Elephas maximus indicus: one gene and its partner. Each later gene encodes a partner of the first gene's protein in a complex. Links are inferred from orthologs where the notes say so. Each region holds a gene or a part of one and is shown on either strand. Other genes may lie near its edges.

Region 1 (7,353 bases):
ACAAAGTTCTTGTGCAAAAGTCTACAACTTGATTATGTATCACCTCCTCAGGCCTGCCTCTTCACTCCACCCCCATAACTGGAATACACTCATATCTACTGTTTGGTCTTCTCACATCTACAATGTACTCAGGGAGTCTCCATGCCTTCATCTTCTCAATTTTGAAAATGTTGATAGTTACTGCTGAGTCGATTCCAATTCTGACTTACACTCATGCTAAAATAAACTTCAGTACTTGTTCTTCTATTCACTTCTCAACCCTCCCTCAAACCTCTTCATGATTCCTTAGTACCACGTAAACTCTGACTTCGGGAGTCTCTGCCAGGTCGTTCTTGTGAGAGGTGGGAGGGGCTTGCCCCAGGTGCATGCAGTAAAGGGATGCACTGCCTGTAGAGAATTAAAAACAATAATAAAACCAGATGAAAGTCTGTCTGCTTTTTATTATCATCATGTGCTAGAAATTCTAAACAACCTCAGTGCTAAGACATTCCTTGGACCACAGACAGCTCCCATGATTGCCCCTCAGAATGCCACGGGTAATGGCCAACCTCCTCCTCCAAGTCAAATCTTTTATGCAATAGTTCTTCCTTTCCTTAGGCTCTCAAACCAAATAAAACTAACAACAACAAAGGCTAAAAGTTACCAGTGTATTTTCCATATTATTTGCAATTGTGAGGTATATCATATTGCTTTAACAGAAAACTTCATATATAATTTAACCTGATGCCTCACCCTAAGCAAAACTGAGTCAAGGCCATATATAACATAGTAGAGTCCATTTATGTAATCTGATCAATTATGATTTAGTATTAAAACCATTTTAAAAATCAATAATCTGAACAAGTATTTCAAAGCCATAATTGCAAGCCTACCAAAAAAAAAAAAAAAAAAAACCCATTGCCATGGAGTCAATTCCAACTCATAGCAACCCTATAGGACAGCAGAGCTGCCACACAGTTTCCAGGGAGTGCCTGATAGATTTGAACTGCCAGCCTTTTGGTTAGCCATAGCCACTATGCCACCAGGGTTTCTACTGCAAGCCTAGAAGCTGGGAAATTTGCCAAGATTTATGGGATTAAACTCAGCTGAATGGACAGGGCCCTACTAATAGGACTGCAGTCCTATATGGCTGCTCTGATGCCCTGATGAGTCACTCTGAGGCACAGGTCCTCTTGGTCACTATGAAAGAAAATGCTTAAACACAGCAGAGGAAGGAGGACAGAAAAGTGATCCTAAGAGAGGGGCTGATTCCGCCTCAGTCAACCCTGCTGACAGCCATGCTCTGCTTCACTGGCAATGTAGCAGCTGAATGGTAGGTCAGCAGAAATCAGCACAGTACTCTATTTGGTACCTCCCTGTGCAGAAGCTGTACCCCTCAGCTGTAACAAATTCTCCTAATTCTATCAATGACAGGGAATGACTTTCTAACTAGGGTATACAGAAAACTGAGAATGGACTACATAAAAAAAAAATTGATAACCAGAAAATGTGGAACCAAAAGAATCAATACACCAAATTACGTTATTACCAACTGATGATTAAAGAAAATAAAATGCCTACGTTGTGTATACGAAGAAAGAGTCTTCATTACTGCTGTTTTAATAGTTCTTCCAATGCACTGATACATATTTCACCGTATAACTAGGAGTTTGCCAAACCCTAATAAAAAATGCAATTACTAGTTAAGCTGTAAAATACAACTAAACCCAGAAGAATGACAACACACAGAATTTATCTAGCATGAAAGCTAAGACATTTACTCTACCATTAAAACAAAGAACAAAAACTCCAAAGATTATGCAGAACGCAGGGCAATCAAATTTCAACCATACCTTTCAGACATATAACTGAAGGCAGGCACTCTTACGTCTCAACGAGCACTTCCTCCAACCATGAATTACAGTCTTTGTTTCCCAAAACACTGAGGTAAAAGAGGAAAAATATATCTTTTAAACCACAACTGTATGGAAAAATAAGAACAGGTCTTATCAGATAAATAGTCTTGTCTACTCCAAAGAAATAAATTTAGACATATACAGAACCCAGCACGCAGTTAATAACTTTAGAGATTGGTGTCATCATTTCATTCTCGAACTTGAAAAGTTATTCAATATGCTCATCCACGTTTTAAATCATTGTTTATGTTTATGCTTCACTTTTGCAAATATCAGCTGTGCCCTTAAACATAAGAAAATTATAAGTCCTCTTACTCAGCACAGCCCTTCAAGGCCATCAAGAGTTAATGAGCTAGCAAGACACTGAGGTGACAATGAATATCAAATGTTCTAGTTTACTTGAATGAATTCAAGTCAGGCCACCCATATCAGATCTAAAAGTCATCAATAGAGCAATTTCAAAAAAAAAAAAAAATTCTAACACTTTAAAGATCAAACACCTGAAGCATAACAATTGTTAAATATCACTCTCTGCCACTGACAGTATTAGGATTCTTCTCAGCTACTTTACACACACCAAAACCAAACCCACTGCCTTCGAGTCTATTCCGACTCACAGTGACCCTATAGGACAGAGTAGAACTGCCCCAGAGGGTTCCCAAGGGGCGCTGGTGGATTTGAACTGACCTTTTGGTTAGCAGCCAATCTCTTAACCACTGTGCCACCAGTTCATGGCAAAAATCTAACTCATTGACCACCTACTTACATAATGTAGATTAGGAAGACTATATTAACTGCTGCATATAAAACATAAACACAATGTAGACAATAACTAAAACTGATAATAATTACCTTCCAGTAAAGATCAAAACAAGCCTGCACTCTACACACTGGCCTTTAAGAAAAACTAAATGTACTATTGTGTATATAACCACAGATTTCACTATTTTTTTTTAAGTACTTCCAAAGTAGTACTTTTTAGAAATCAAAAATTCTTAGAAATTGTTAATAATCTGCTGCACCCTAATCTAAAATTGTCCTTCCTGGTTAAGCTTAAAAACTAAACCCAATAGGATAACTTTTAGAAAAAATGTGTTAGAAAGTTGGGCAGGTAAAGCAGGAGCGAGCCGTAAGCGCCAACGTTGACAGCAGTGGCTTCCCACCTGATAATGACTGTGGTTTTCAATGCATCCAGGAGTCCATCCCCTGACAAAGGAAGTAAGTCAGCCTAAACTCTGCAGAGTAAAGTCCAAAAGGAAAAGTTCGGTTGGCTTGTCTGTATGACGAGAACTTTAAGATACTATTAATTTGACAAAGAAAAGCACATAATTTCGGGCTGGGTGAGGAAGACTTTACGTTTTCCCTGAAAGAGTAAAATACTTTCCTGGAATTCACAAAAACACATTTGAAAAAACCAGCATTAACTGAAGTCAAGCAATCCGAGCTCAGCATCCAGTCGGTGGCTCATCATCTCTCTCACCCGTTAGGTCGAGACGCCCTTCTCAGCTGCGCCCCTCGCAGAGGGACAGACCGGCTCCATCTACCCTCTCCGTGGAAGCCCATCTCTGCCATCTCGGGCCACCCTCGCAGGCGCTCCGCCGGGACCCGGGACACTCCCCCTGCGCGGGGCTGCAGAGCGGCTGCCCTCCGAGAGGCACCTCTGCCCAGGGTCGTCCGCAACCCCCAGCCCCGGACCCTCCGGCCCCAGGTCCCCGGCACCTCCCTCCGCAGCCCCTCACGGCTGCCCTCAGGGGTCGCCTCCCCTTGGCCGGCCCCCGCTCCAGGCTCCCGCTCCCTGCCTCGGGACCCCAGCTCGCAGGGCGCCCAGGCTCTGCCGTCCCTACCCGTTCTCCCCGTCCCGCGGCGCCGAGCGACAGCGGGGCCAGCAGGCATCCACAGAGGAGACAAGCGTGTGGGACCTCCCAGCTCCGAACTCACCTCCACTCCCGGCTCTCGGATCTTGGCCCGGAGCCCGGCTTCCGCCTCGCACCGGAAGGCGTTCACCGCGCGACCGGAAGTCCCGCCCCGCCTGCTCCCCGCCCGCTCGCCTGCCGGGTTCCCGCAGGGAGCACCTGGAGGAGCTGAGAGGTGCAGGGGTGCTCGGCAGGTGTCGGGCCGGAGTCTCCTTTCTCCCGCGTTCGTTCTCTTTTTCAGTCAGCAACTCTGCAAACGCTTGACCGCTCGCCTGCCGGGTTCCCGCAGGGAGCACCTGGAGGAGCTGAGAGGTGCAGGGGTGCTCGGCAGGTGTCGGGCCGGAGTCTCCTTTCTCCCGCGTTCGTTCTCTTTTTCAGTCAGCAACTCTGCAAACGCTTGACCAAGCGCCTGCCTATTCCGCTCAAGCCCTGCGAGGAACACTCAGACACTGACTCCTGCCCTCGCTGGTAGAAAATTGACAAATAAAAACAAAGGTTAACCACACTAAGCGGTGGTATTTCTTCCTTCATTCATTAATTGAACAAACTTGTATTACCTACTACGTATCACTCATTCCACAGCAGTAACAGACGGAAGCGTAAACTCAGGACAATGAACTGAGCATAGAATAAATCAGAGAGCGACCGGTCCCTCGGAAGCTTAGTGTAGTGTAGGGACACAGATATGTGAGCAAACGAGTGCAATAACGATCAGGTGCACAGGACTACGGCAGTGCTATGGGCCAAAAGTAGGCAATGGCGGAGTGCAGGGAGCTAGGCGGAAAAGGCTTTCTAGAGATGTTGACTCTCCCGTTGTCGTGGAAATAAATGATAATAAAGCTAGGTGGTGGACAAGATCCTGAAGGGCATGCTGAGCAGATGCCAGGGAATGAGTTTGATTTGTTCAGGGGTACAGTTAATTTATCAAGGCCTGAGATCATGGCGGTAACGCCAGATTATGAACACTATTGTACATTACGCTGAGAAATTTGGACTTCAGCCTGCATGTAACTGGAAATCAGTGAGGTCTTCTAGGGGAACTAACAAAAAGTGAGTCATGAGGTTGCCTAGGATGATTGACCTGGTCATCAAAGAAAAATAAGAACTTGAAAGATCACGATAGAACATTTTGCCCTCAAAGGTGCTTTCTCAAACTGCCATACGCCATTATAAAGACGGTGGATGACTACCAAATCAAACCTGTTGCTGTCAGGTCGACTGCAACTCATAGTGACCCTAAACCAAAACCAAACGCATTGCCATGGAGTTGATTCCGACTCATGATGACCTTACAAGATAGAGTAGAACTGTCCCATAAGGTTTCCAAGGAGCGGCTGGTGGATTCAAACTGTCGGCCTTTTGGTTAGCAGCTGAGCTTTTACCACTGCGCCAGCAGAGCTCATACCTCTCGGCTTGCCCCAGGGTGACCAACTGTCCTGGTTTGCCAAGGACTGAGAGAAATCTCATGACGCTGGACTTCCATTGCTTAAACTGGGACAGTCTGGGGAAACCAGGACAAATTGGTCACCCTATCATGTCCTCTAACAGGTTAGTCCAAAAATGGGGACATCCTACACTGGGCCATTTAGATTCTTTCTCCCAGGAACACTAAATGTGAAACAGGGAAACAGAGAAAGACAGCCATTAGAGCTGAGACGTACAAATAGGAGGGCCCTCAAGAGAAGATCTATAAATACCTTTGCCAAGGACCCTGGTCTTGCCCTGTGTCCTTTGATTACACGAGATATCTCTATATACTTCCAATACACTTTTTGCTTAACTAGCCAAAGTAGGCATCTACTGCTTGCAACCAAAATAATCTTAAAGAGCATACCCATAATATCCACTTATTAAAGGTAATCTGCATCCAGAGCCCCTACTGAGTAGTCAAAGTTGAATGACCATTGCCACAGCGCTGCACCATGTTCTAGGGTGGACCAGATGTGCACTCTTAGTCCATATAGGGCTAAGAGAGTCTCATGCATGGATTTTGGAGTTTGCATACAAAACTCCACTTGGTCTCTCCTGCATGCTTAGAAATGTCATGTAAACTTAGGATTGACTTAGACATGAGCAAGATGTCTAAAGCTGGTGGAGAAAAAAAGGAGAGGAACAAGAGGAAGGAAGAGGAAGTAGGAATGAGAAGGAGAAAAGAGAAGAAAATTTTCTCCGAGGTGGTAGTCCTAGTTCCCATTTTTGCATTTTTAATCCCCAATTTCTTGTAAGGCCCAGCTAAACTTCCTCCATCTTTAAACTCTTTGAAAATTGTATGTCTTTCCAGTAAATTTCCCATTTTTCTTAGGTTAATTTTAGTAGGTTTCTGTTCCTGGCAATCAAAACACCAAGGCATCAACTCCCCAAGACACAGCATTGCCTGCCCACTTGATAGCACCTATCTTTTCTCACCAGAGTTCTCAGCCAACTTCTCCCCCCGCCCCCCAGGTCAATGACAAAAGGAGAATTTGCACACCTCCACTGCTCCTGGCCCCTTCAGGAAAACTGTCACAATAGCTGTGGAGTTTGATAACTTTAGTGTTAAAATCACATGGATGGGGAGAATCATATGCCCACAGAATACAAAGTTGGAAGGAGGCTTTGGAAACCATGTATTCCAAATTTTTCATTAGCCAGAGCTAAAGAGAGTTGAAGTCCAGCTAGGCATAGTGGTTTTTCTAAGGCCAAACAGCTCAATAGTGTTACCTAACCTGGAAAGGTGGGTCCTTGTCCAGCACGCTCAGACTTGCCAATTATCTGGACACCGCTCTTTGAGAAAGAGAAGGTAACTTTATTGCAGTGCACACAGCAAGGAGCCAGGAGGAAGTTCCTCAGGTGCAGCTCCTCCAGCTATGGGTAGACAGGGCTTATATACGAGGGCCGCAAGATGGTGGTCGCACAGGTGTTCTGGGGAGGGAAAACTCTAGAAGGCTGCCAGGAAACAGGAGGTGACATGGTTCCTGTTGGACCTCTAGCTTCGAGATAGGGTCGGGGTGATGATTTTTCCTTCTGATTCTTTCCTCCTGTTGCTGCGTCCTCTGTTGAGGTCCATTAGCGATCACATCTGGCCCTTCTGCACATGTGGGGCGAGCCAAATATGATTTGGGCTAGTTTAATGACCAATGGAAATTTACTGGCATGTGTAGGGTCAGGTTACAGTACTTTCAGAAACAAGACTAGTTCAAGATCTCCTCTCTACTAGTTCACTGCTCTGCCTGCTTCCTTTGGGGTAGGATGCCACTCTGCTCTGTTGATCAGATATGTTACTGTGAGCCAGGAGAGAAGATTTTAAGGAAAAATTTCCTTTTTTTTTTTGGTACTCACCAACTGGCTCAGACAGATGGGTAATTAACAGAGCTGATAAGGTGATCACGAGTTGGAATAGACTCCATGGCAACTGGTTTGGTTTTTTTCTGGTTAATAAGGTTAGTTGTTTACAAAGTTTATTTGCACATTCTACATTCTTTTTTGTTCATACGTGGTGTTTTCCTTATCCATGTTTCTTTTTTTCACCATCACCGTCAACATCATTATTGTTTATGGCTAAAATT
Region 2 (7,353 bases), on another chromosome or scaffold:
GCAGAGGCAAAGTTGTTCCACACGCCTCAGCTCCCCGCCACACTCCCTAATCTCTACACAAACGAGCGCGCCGAGGAGGCGCTCGGCAGTATCAGTCGCTACGAGCAGCCGGGCGGGCTTCCCCCGGTGCCTAGGCGTGGGAGGGGCCTCCACCTCAAAAAGACATCCAGCTCGGCAACACCGCCTCTCTGTACCCCTCCAGCGCACAGAGAACCCCCATCCATGAAAAAGGAAACCCCCCCCAAGCTCACACATTGGCTCCTTTGCCTTGCCCGGCGGCTGCAGAGCAGGCAGGAAATGCAAGTAACGCGTCCTTTCAGGCTAAGCCCCCGACTTCAGCCTCCAGACCCGCCCCCGGTGGGCCTCCTACCCCTCGCAGCGCCCCTTCCCACCCGCGCCCCGCGAGCCGGCACCCGGGGCCTGCGCTGGGAGAGTGGTCTGTCTGCGTTCCCCTCTCTCGGGTTAATATTAACCAGGAGCTCATGCGTTCCAGAACTGCTCTGAAAGTTCCACTGGGGAAGATCTCGCCATGGTTGAGGGACTTGGGCAACGGTCACCTAGAGAGACCTAGAGACACACCCAGAGACAAGGAGAGAGACTAGACGGAGGAGGAGACCCTCAAGACGCACACCTGAGAGCAGAGTCCAGGCGTTTCTGTAAAAGTGAGGAGCCCAGCAGGCAAGCAAGTTCCCCGAGAAGCTCCAGACCTTCGCGCGGCCTGAGAGGCACTTTCCTGCCTCTGAAGCCCACACGTTCCCTGCCCTTACAAGACCCAAGACGTCTGCCTCTCTCACCCCATTCCTGTCCCCGCCCCCCTTTAACTCCTAGAATCTGCAGAAGAGGGAAATGCCAGAGGAGGGACAACCAGGGGGCACATTCCAGCCGCCACCCCCAACCATCCACGTTTTTAGGGTACCTGGGGGGGGTCAGTGCTGTAACCCTGGCCTGGCTCTCCCCCCCACCCCACCCCACCCCACCCCACCCCACCCCACCCCCACTTTGGCCACCCTTCCCCCCTCCTTTTGTGTTAGGAACGGGAATGGCCACTGCTGAAGGAAAAAAAAGTATTTGTTTTCGTTTCGTTCGTCTGAGGGAAGTTGACAGAAGGTCAGAAGTTCAAATGCTGCTAGCGAATGCGGCGGCGCGAGAGGCGCGGCGTGGGGCGGGCGCGGCCCCGTGTTCCCGGGCAGGGCGGGCGGGAGGCGCGGAGCGGGATGGAGGGCTCCTTGCGGCGCCCAGGGGGCTCGGAGACCCGGGAGGCCCGGCCGCGCCGTCACCACACCCCTGCCTCCTCCCCGCACGCGCCCCACCCCCGCCGCCGCCGCCGGGTTAATGAGGGTGATTAGCGCCCCATTAGGATGAGCCCCACGCTCGCGGTTCTGGAGCTGATTCCTGCGTGTGCGCGTGCAGGGCAGGGACTGCGCGGCGGCGGCGGCGGCGACGGCCCGAGCCCAGCTCCGCCGCACAAACTGAAACCCTAGCCTCTGAGATCGATAACCGAGGAGTAAGTGGAGCTGAAAATGCGTCTGACTTGGGGCTCGGCTTCTTGGGCCTACAGCTTCCCAGAAGGGCGCTGAGGACCCAGAGCTCGGAGCAGGGGGCGCGGGACTCGGTGGGGGTCCCTTGCACCCACAAAGGCAGATGCTGACCGGCCCGACTCGGGACCCTCCGGTGTCTCCGCCCCGCCGCTTCTCTCTTCTCCCCTCCCCTGAGTGCGGAAAGACCCCCGGGAAGGCTCCTCGCGGGGGGCGAAGGGGACCAGGGGGCGGCGAGGCCCGGAGAGCCAGAGAACTTCCTCCAGCCGGCCGCACGCCCCCGGCCCCCTTGGGGCCACGCAGAGTTAATCGTGGCTTCTGTGGGGCACAAGCGCGCGGCCACACTCTTGGGCCCGATTTAAGGTGGTCGGGAGCAGATGAGGGAGACCGAGGAAAGAGAATCCTCTCCTCCACTCCCACTTCGCCCCCACCGGGCAGCTAGAGCTGGTTCCCCAGCTGGCCCTTCCCTTTCTCCGCACCCGCAACAAGCCCAGGAATGGGGTTGGAAGCAGAAGAGCTACGAGGTAGCTCCTCTCTGCCTCCCCCCGCCTCTCCTCCCCCCCCTCCCGCCACACTTGCGCCCCGCCAGCGCCGCTCCGTCAGCCTGTGCGCTTCTAGCCCTAAAGGTAGGATTTGAATATTTTAATAGGGCAATAAAAATGATGCTGACCTATATTTGCGAGGAAACCCATTTCTAGCTTCAGTTACATATGCATGGAGTTTCAGAAAGTCTGGAATTGGCAGGTAGCTTTTTAGCCCAGATGTCTCAAAGGAGATGGGCGAGGGGAAAGGATTAATATTTTGCTTTGGTTTTCCTTTCCACCCCTTTCCCATTAATATTTATTCCCTCGTAATTTCTATGCAAGCTGATTGAAAACTGAAGTGATGCAATGCCAGTAAGTTCCAAGTCCCTCCCCTAAGGTACCTCGGGCTTAGGAGAATGAAAGAGCATCCTTAAAGAAATATCAATATATTCACACTCCGATGGGCACAATCACACTCGATGGAATCGCAAGGCAAGCTATGTGACACAGTCATGGACAGCTAGAGCCGCCTCCGAAGCCACTGCCTTTTGTCAGAACCGCCTTCCTGGCTTTTCCAATGGAAGATTCTTTGGTGGGGGGTGGTCGGGTGGGGGTAGTCATGGGAAGAAAAAACACAGAAGAGAGGGGGAAAGTATGAGCTTGGAGATCTAACGCTTCGAGCCTACATTTGTAGCAGTGACCTGAGGCCACTTTATGTTTATGGGGGGGATTCCCACCCCCCCTCTGCATCTCCACTCCTGACTCTCCAGTAAAGCCACAGACTTGGAAAAGGCAGACGCCCGGAAAGTGAAGGTCTCTCCAAGTTACAAGCCAGAGCACAGCCAGGGTGGGGAGAGCCATCCTAGTAAGACAGAGATGAAATCAGGGCCATAAATGGGATCACATACCCAGCCATTCTCACCCCCGCCCATACCCTAAACTTCTGGACCCATAACCTCCATTCCTCCAGGAAGAGGAAGGGGTGGCAGGTAGGTAGGAGGGTGGGGAAGGACAGAGTGAAATCGCCTTTAAATCTGCTTAAAAAGCAAAGAAACCAAGTCTAGAACGGCTTCGTTCCACGTAGCTCGCTTTAAAGGAACACATTCCACGCCCCAGAGCTGGGTTTCTACCTGAGTCATCAGCCGGTCCGCTCCGGTGTTTTCTTCATCCTTAAATATGATGTCAGGGTTGTAATTGGGGGTGAGTTCCTTAAATCGCTCGGAGTTTCTCGAGATCTTCCCTTCGTATCTTCCACTGGCCCCTAGGGTCTTCTCGGCCACATTGGGGATAAACTGTTTGTAGGCTAAAGGGGTCAGCTTTTTGGGGTGTCTCCTCTTCCCAAATCCCCTGCCGGGTCCGCACGCCAGCCCTGAGCACATCAAGAGCGTGGAGACCAGGACCACCACCAGACATCTCGCCAGAAGCAGCATCTCGTCCATGGAGCCCAATTACTTCCAAGCTCTCCCGTGTGTGTCTGTGTGTGTGAGCGTGTGTGTGTGCGCGCGTGTGCGTGTTCGCTCTCTCTTGCGCTCTCCCTTTCTCGCTCCGGCTCGCTTGCTGCCTTGCTCTCTCCCTCGCTCTCTTTCTCTTCCTATATAACCTTGCCCGCCGCCGCTGCGTGGGACTCTCCACCGATCCCCAGCCAGACAGGTGCTGGAATGGCAGGCTGCCGGTCTCTGATAACGGAACACATCGGAGATGGGTCGCGAGACAGCAATCAAAAGACAAAAAGAGTCTGATTTTAAATGGTAGCAAGCCTAGAGACGCTTGTGAGAGAGGCTGCCTTTAGTACTATATTATAGCTGGCAGGGGCGTATCTGATTGGCCAAGGCAACACAAGCTTGTCTTCTGATGTTTAACCCTCAAAAAGGCTACAATTTTTTTTTCTGTTGCTGCTGCTGCTTTATTTTCACCTGAAGGCTTCGAGTAAAAAAAAAAAAAATCTTTACTAAAACAAAGGTGGGAGGGAGGGCGAGGCACATTTCTCAGGATAACATCAATTATACCCTGCTTTGTGTGTATCCGTGTTTCCCCCTTTACTTTCTTGGGAATGGTAGGTGCTTCAGTTAAAACCAACTTAAGTTTTTAAAGGACAGCACAGACCCCCCAAAGCTTTGATCATCAAACAAATATCTCCTCAAATGTTTCAGGGGCAAAGCTTGCCAGGTCTTATTTAAAATTGTTAGGGATTTTAGCATTCAGGCCAGGTCTCCCATCTGAGCCTCCTCTGCCTGAATGCTCAGCATCTTTGGAAGAAGGATAATTATGAGTGACCACAACTTAGTAATGTGAGTTGAAGTGCTTCACATGCCTTAGAAAAACTTTAAAATACTGCCACTTTATTGTTTGTATCAATGCATGGTTTCTGAAACCTCTGAAGATAGGATGGAGGTGTGTTAAGGGTAGGTACAGAGTGAGCTGATGGACTGTCAAGGTCCAGGGGCAAAGTGGGTCTCAGGTGCTGGACACCCCCAGCTCTGGGAAGGGAGCCTGTGCTTGTGTGTGCTGTGGGCGGAGGCTCATTGTGCCTGGAGGGCAGCAGTGAGTGGGCAAGGCTTTGCAAACACCACCCCCACAGATCAATAGGAGCAAAGTGCAGGGCCAAGGGATGAGTGAAGTGTAAAGTTAAGGCTCCTTGCTATGGCGTCTGGTGCTGGCGCTAAATGGAGCTGGCCACATCATGGGCTCTGCAGCCTGGAGGGGTGCAGGTGGCTGGAGCAGCTCCGGCTCTGGTCAAATAGGGGTGTCCTAGTGTCCAGAGAACAGCAATATGAGACCCCCAATCCCTGCAGTCCTTCCAGAAAACACACACTCACACACCCACAACTTTCTAACTAAACTAGAAAAATAAAACCTGACACTCCCTCTTTTTGCAGAACATACCCCCATCTCAACCTCCCCCCATTCCACGCATAAGCAAGAATACCTCTGGAGTGGGGCAAGGGAGTGTTATTCATGTGGACTAGAAATACTGACCCTGACAAATAATCAGATACTGTGAGTGTTGGCCTCTGCAGTTCAGTATTCTGCCTTGACCCCAAACCACGCAGTGGTGTGAGAACGGTCTGAAGGTTCACCCAGCAAAACAATGGGAAGTTGCTAGCAGTCCATCAATGTTCCTATGCCCAAATCTTTTTTTTTTTTTTTGAGGGGGTCATCTTAAGCGACATCTAGCTGCACTCCACCCATTCGTGCTCCTCTACAAAGGTTGACAAGTCCCTCCCCCCTCCCCCCTCGCATCTCTCTCTCTTTTCTATTCTGTGATTTTTGAAGAACCAAAATACCGAGCCTAAGAAGAGCGCTGACCTCTGGGCAAGGTGGGAAGGCAGCACCCAGTTCTATCCAGAAAGACTCAGGCAGGAACGAAGAGTTCTCCAATTAGCCGGAGACAATTCAACTCTGTTGATAAACCCGGGGCTTAATTTATTGTCCAGGGTGTGTGTGTGTGTGTGTGTGTGTGTGTGTGTGTGCGCGCCTCTCTCTGTATATTGTGTGCTCCCAGGAAAAAACTGATACAAAAAAAGATATAACGCTGTATACCAAAGAAGGTAGGCTTGTTTGATGTGGTTACCTCGGGTAGCACGTGTTGATGTAATATCACTAAATAGTGCCGCGGTTTAAGAAGCGATCCCGACAGTGTGGGATACTTGCAAACCTTTTCATCACCCTCCCCCGCCTTGGCACCTCCTTCGGCCCCAGTGCCTTTCCTTTCCCTTCTCTTTTTCGCTCTTCGCGCTCTCCCCTAAAGACCTAGGTGCCCGCACAGGGCGGGAGCGCCCGGGCGGCGAAGCTGGGGGTTGAGGCCAGAGACTCTGGGGCTGCGGGCCGCGCGTGTACCCAGCAGCCAGCAGGGCTCCTGCGGCGCAGACACGCTGGGGAGGTGCGCGTCCGGTGCAGGCAGTAAACGCACGTGGAAAAGTCTAACGCCCCCAGCGTGCCGGGTGTGGGACTTGGGTTATGAAAGCCAAAGCCGAGCTGGAGAGTCCAGGCTGCGGGGCGCGGTGGGCGGTGTGACCTGGGGGCCCGGCCGGGCTCTCCCGGATCAGGAAAGAGCCGAGCGTGACTCCGGCGGCGCGGTCCCTCCCTCTTCGCAGAGACCAGGAAGGGGACGCGGCGCGCACTGCGCTCGGGCTCCGGCGGAGGCTCCCCGGGAGGGCCGGCGCCGAGGCCACCTCCCTCCTCGCCATCTCCATCCGGCCCTGGAGACCCCGGAGAGCCTGTCAGCGGCCGCCGTCTCAGGGGCTCGTTTGGATCCTCCCGATTCAAAGAGTGATGGACAAATCGCTGTAAAATCCGCCACTGACGCCTTCTTCCGGAGGGCTTGCTCCCGGCGGCGGGTTGCCCGGGGAGGGGGAATAGGGACAAAAATCACGCGCAGTCCGTGTGCATTGTCTTAGGCACTCAGGGTCTGCATTACTGGGCGCCCGGCCGAGCTTCCCGGGGCCGCGGCGGTCTCCGCGCCTCCCTCCCCCTCCCACTTCCCCTTTCCTTTCATCTCGCCCACTTCCCATTTCCCAGACACCAGACACTCGCTCGTCTTCCACCTCCAGACACCAGATGGCTCCCTCTCTTTGCCTTTCCCCCTCCAGACAGTTCGGCCCCTCCTTCTGCCGGGCAGCGGTTCCAAACCCCAGCCGTCTGCCCGTGCCTGTCGCGGCCAGGCGTCCCGGGTCTCCCGCAGACCCATCTCTGACTGATCCGAGCTCGTCTCCTTCTGGTGGTCCTCCACATCCGCCCGGCCCACTCTCCGTCCTTCTACCGTCCACCTCGCCCTGCACCCGGCCGTGCCGGTGAGGACAGGTGGCTGCCTCTGTCTCAGGCTCCGGCCCCCCAGGAGGCGCCCTTCCTCGGAACCGCACCTTTCCCTCCATTTCGACCCCAGCCGCTAGATGGCCTCCTCACTCTGCCTTCAGTTCTGGAGTGCCGGGTTCTGGTTTGGGTGTGTTTGGGAATCTCGGGCAGAACCAGGTTGGGAGGCCCCGGGAAGCGGGCTAGCCGGTTTCTCCATCCTCCTTTGAACCTGGTTCCAGGTTTAGTGCAGACCCCCCCCCCCCCACTTCTGTATTCACTAAGCCCCTGTCCTCAACCAAGCCCCTGTGACGTTGCTCCCAGTTCTCCATGGACTTCCAGTCTCTGGGGTCTGGCTCAAATCTGACATTCCCAGTTTCCCTCCTCCCCTCCCCTTTCTGATTTATTTTCCTTATGATTGTACTCAATATCTTTCCAGCCAGTCACCCAGTTTCAATTTCTTTCCAATTTTGTCAAATTGAATTTCTGTTGGTGATGACAATCTC

Evidence for each region.
Region 2: the proteins of DISP1 (region 1) and SHH are in contact, whole or in part, in a cryo-EM structure (PDB 7E2I), measured with the Homo sapiens proteins. The link is inferred for Elephas maximus indicus from reciprocal best matches to the Homo sapiens genes DISP1 and SHH. Residues at the interface, in NP_001356523.1 of Homo sapiens: Lys242, Thr244, Gly245, Tyr246, Lys247, Ala248, Glu260, His265, Arg299, Phe336, Gly337, Asp338, Leu339, Cys340, Gln341, Arg342, Thr343, Glu459, Arg899, His904, Asp906; in NP_000184.1 of Homo sapiens: Pro49, Asn50, Val51, Thr55, Leu56, Gly57, Ala58, Arg68, Glu71, Phe73, Lys74, Leu76, Thr77, Pro78, Tyr80, Pro82, Arg96, Leu97, Gln100, Lys186.

Annotation. Positions count from the first base shown.
Region 1 is NC_064842.1:12,480,968-12,488,320, reverse strand, and holds the start of DISP1 (protein dispatched homolog 1), read right to left. Parts: upstream 3,882-7,353; 5' UTR 3,834-3,881; exon of another isoform or gene 3,740-3,833; intron 3,701-3,739; exon of another isoform or gene 3,059-3,700; intron 1,922-3,058; exon of another isoform or gene 1,833-1,921; intron 1-1,832. UniProt on the Homo sapiens protein: Functions in hedgehog (Hh) signaling. Regulates the release and extracellular accumulation of cholesterol-modified hedgehog proteins and is hence required for effective production of the Hh signal. Synergizes with SCUBE2 to cause an increase in SHH secretion.
Region 2 is NC_064838.1:5,082,932-5,090,284, reverse strand, and holds the start of SHH (sonic hedgehog protein), read right to left. Parts: upstream 3,788-7,353; 5' UTR 3,499-3,787; coding exon 3,190-3,498; intron 1-3,189.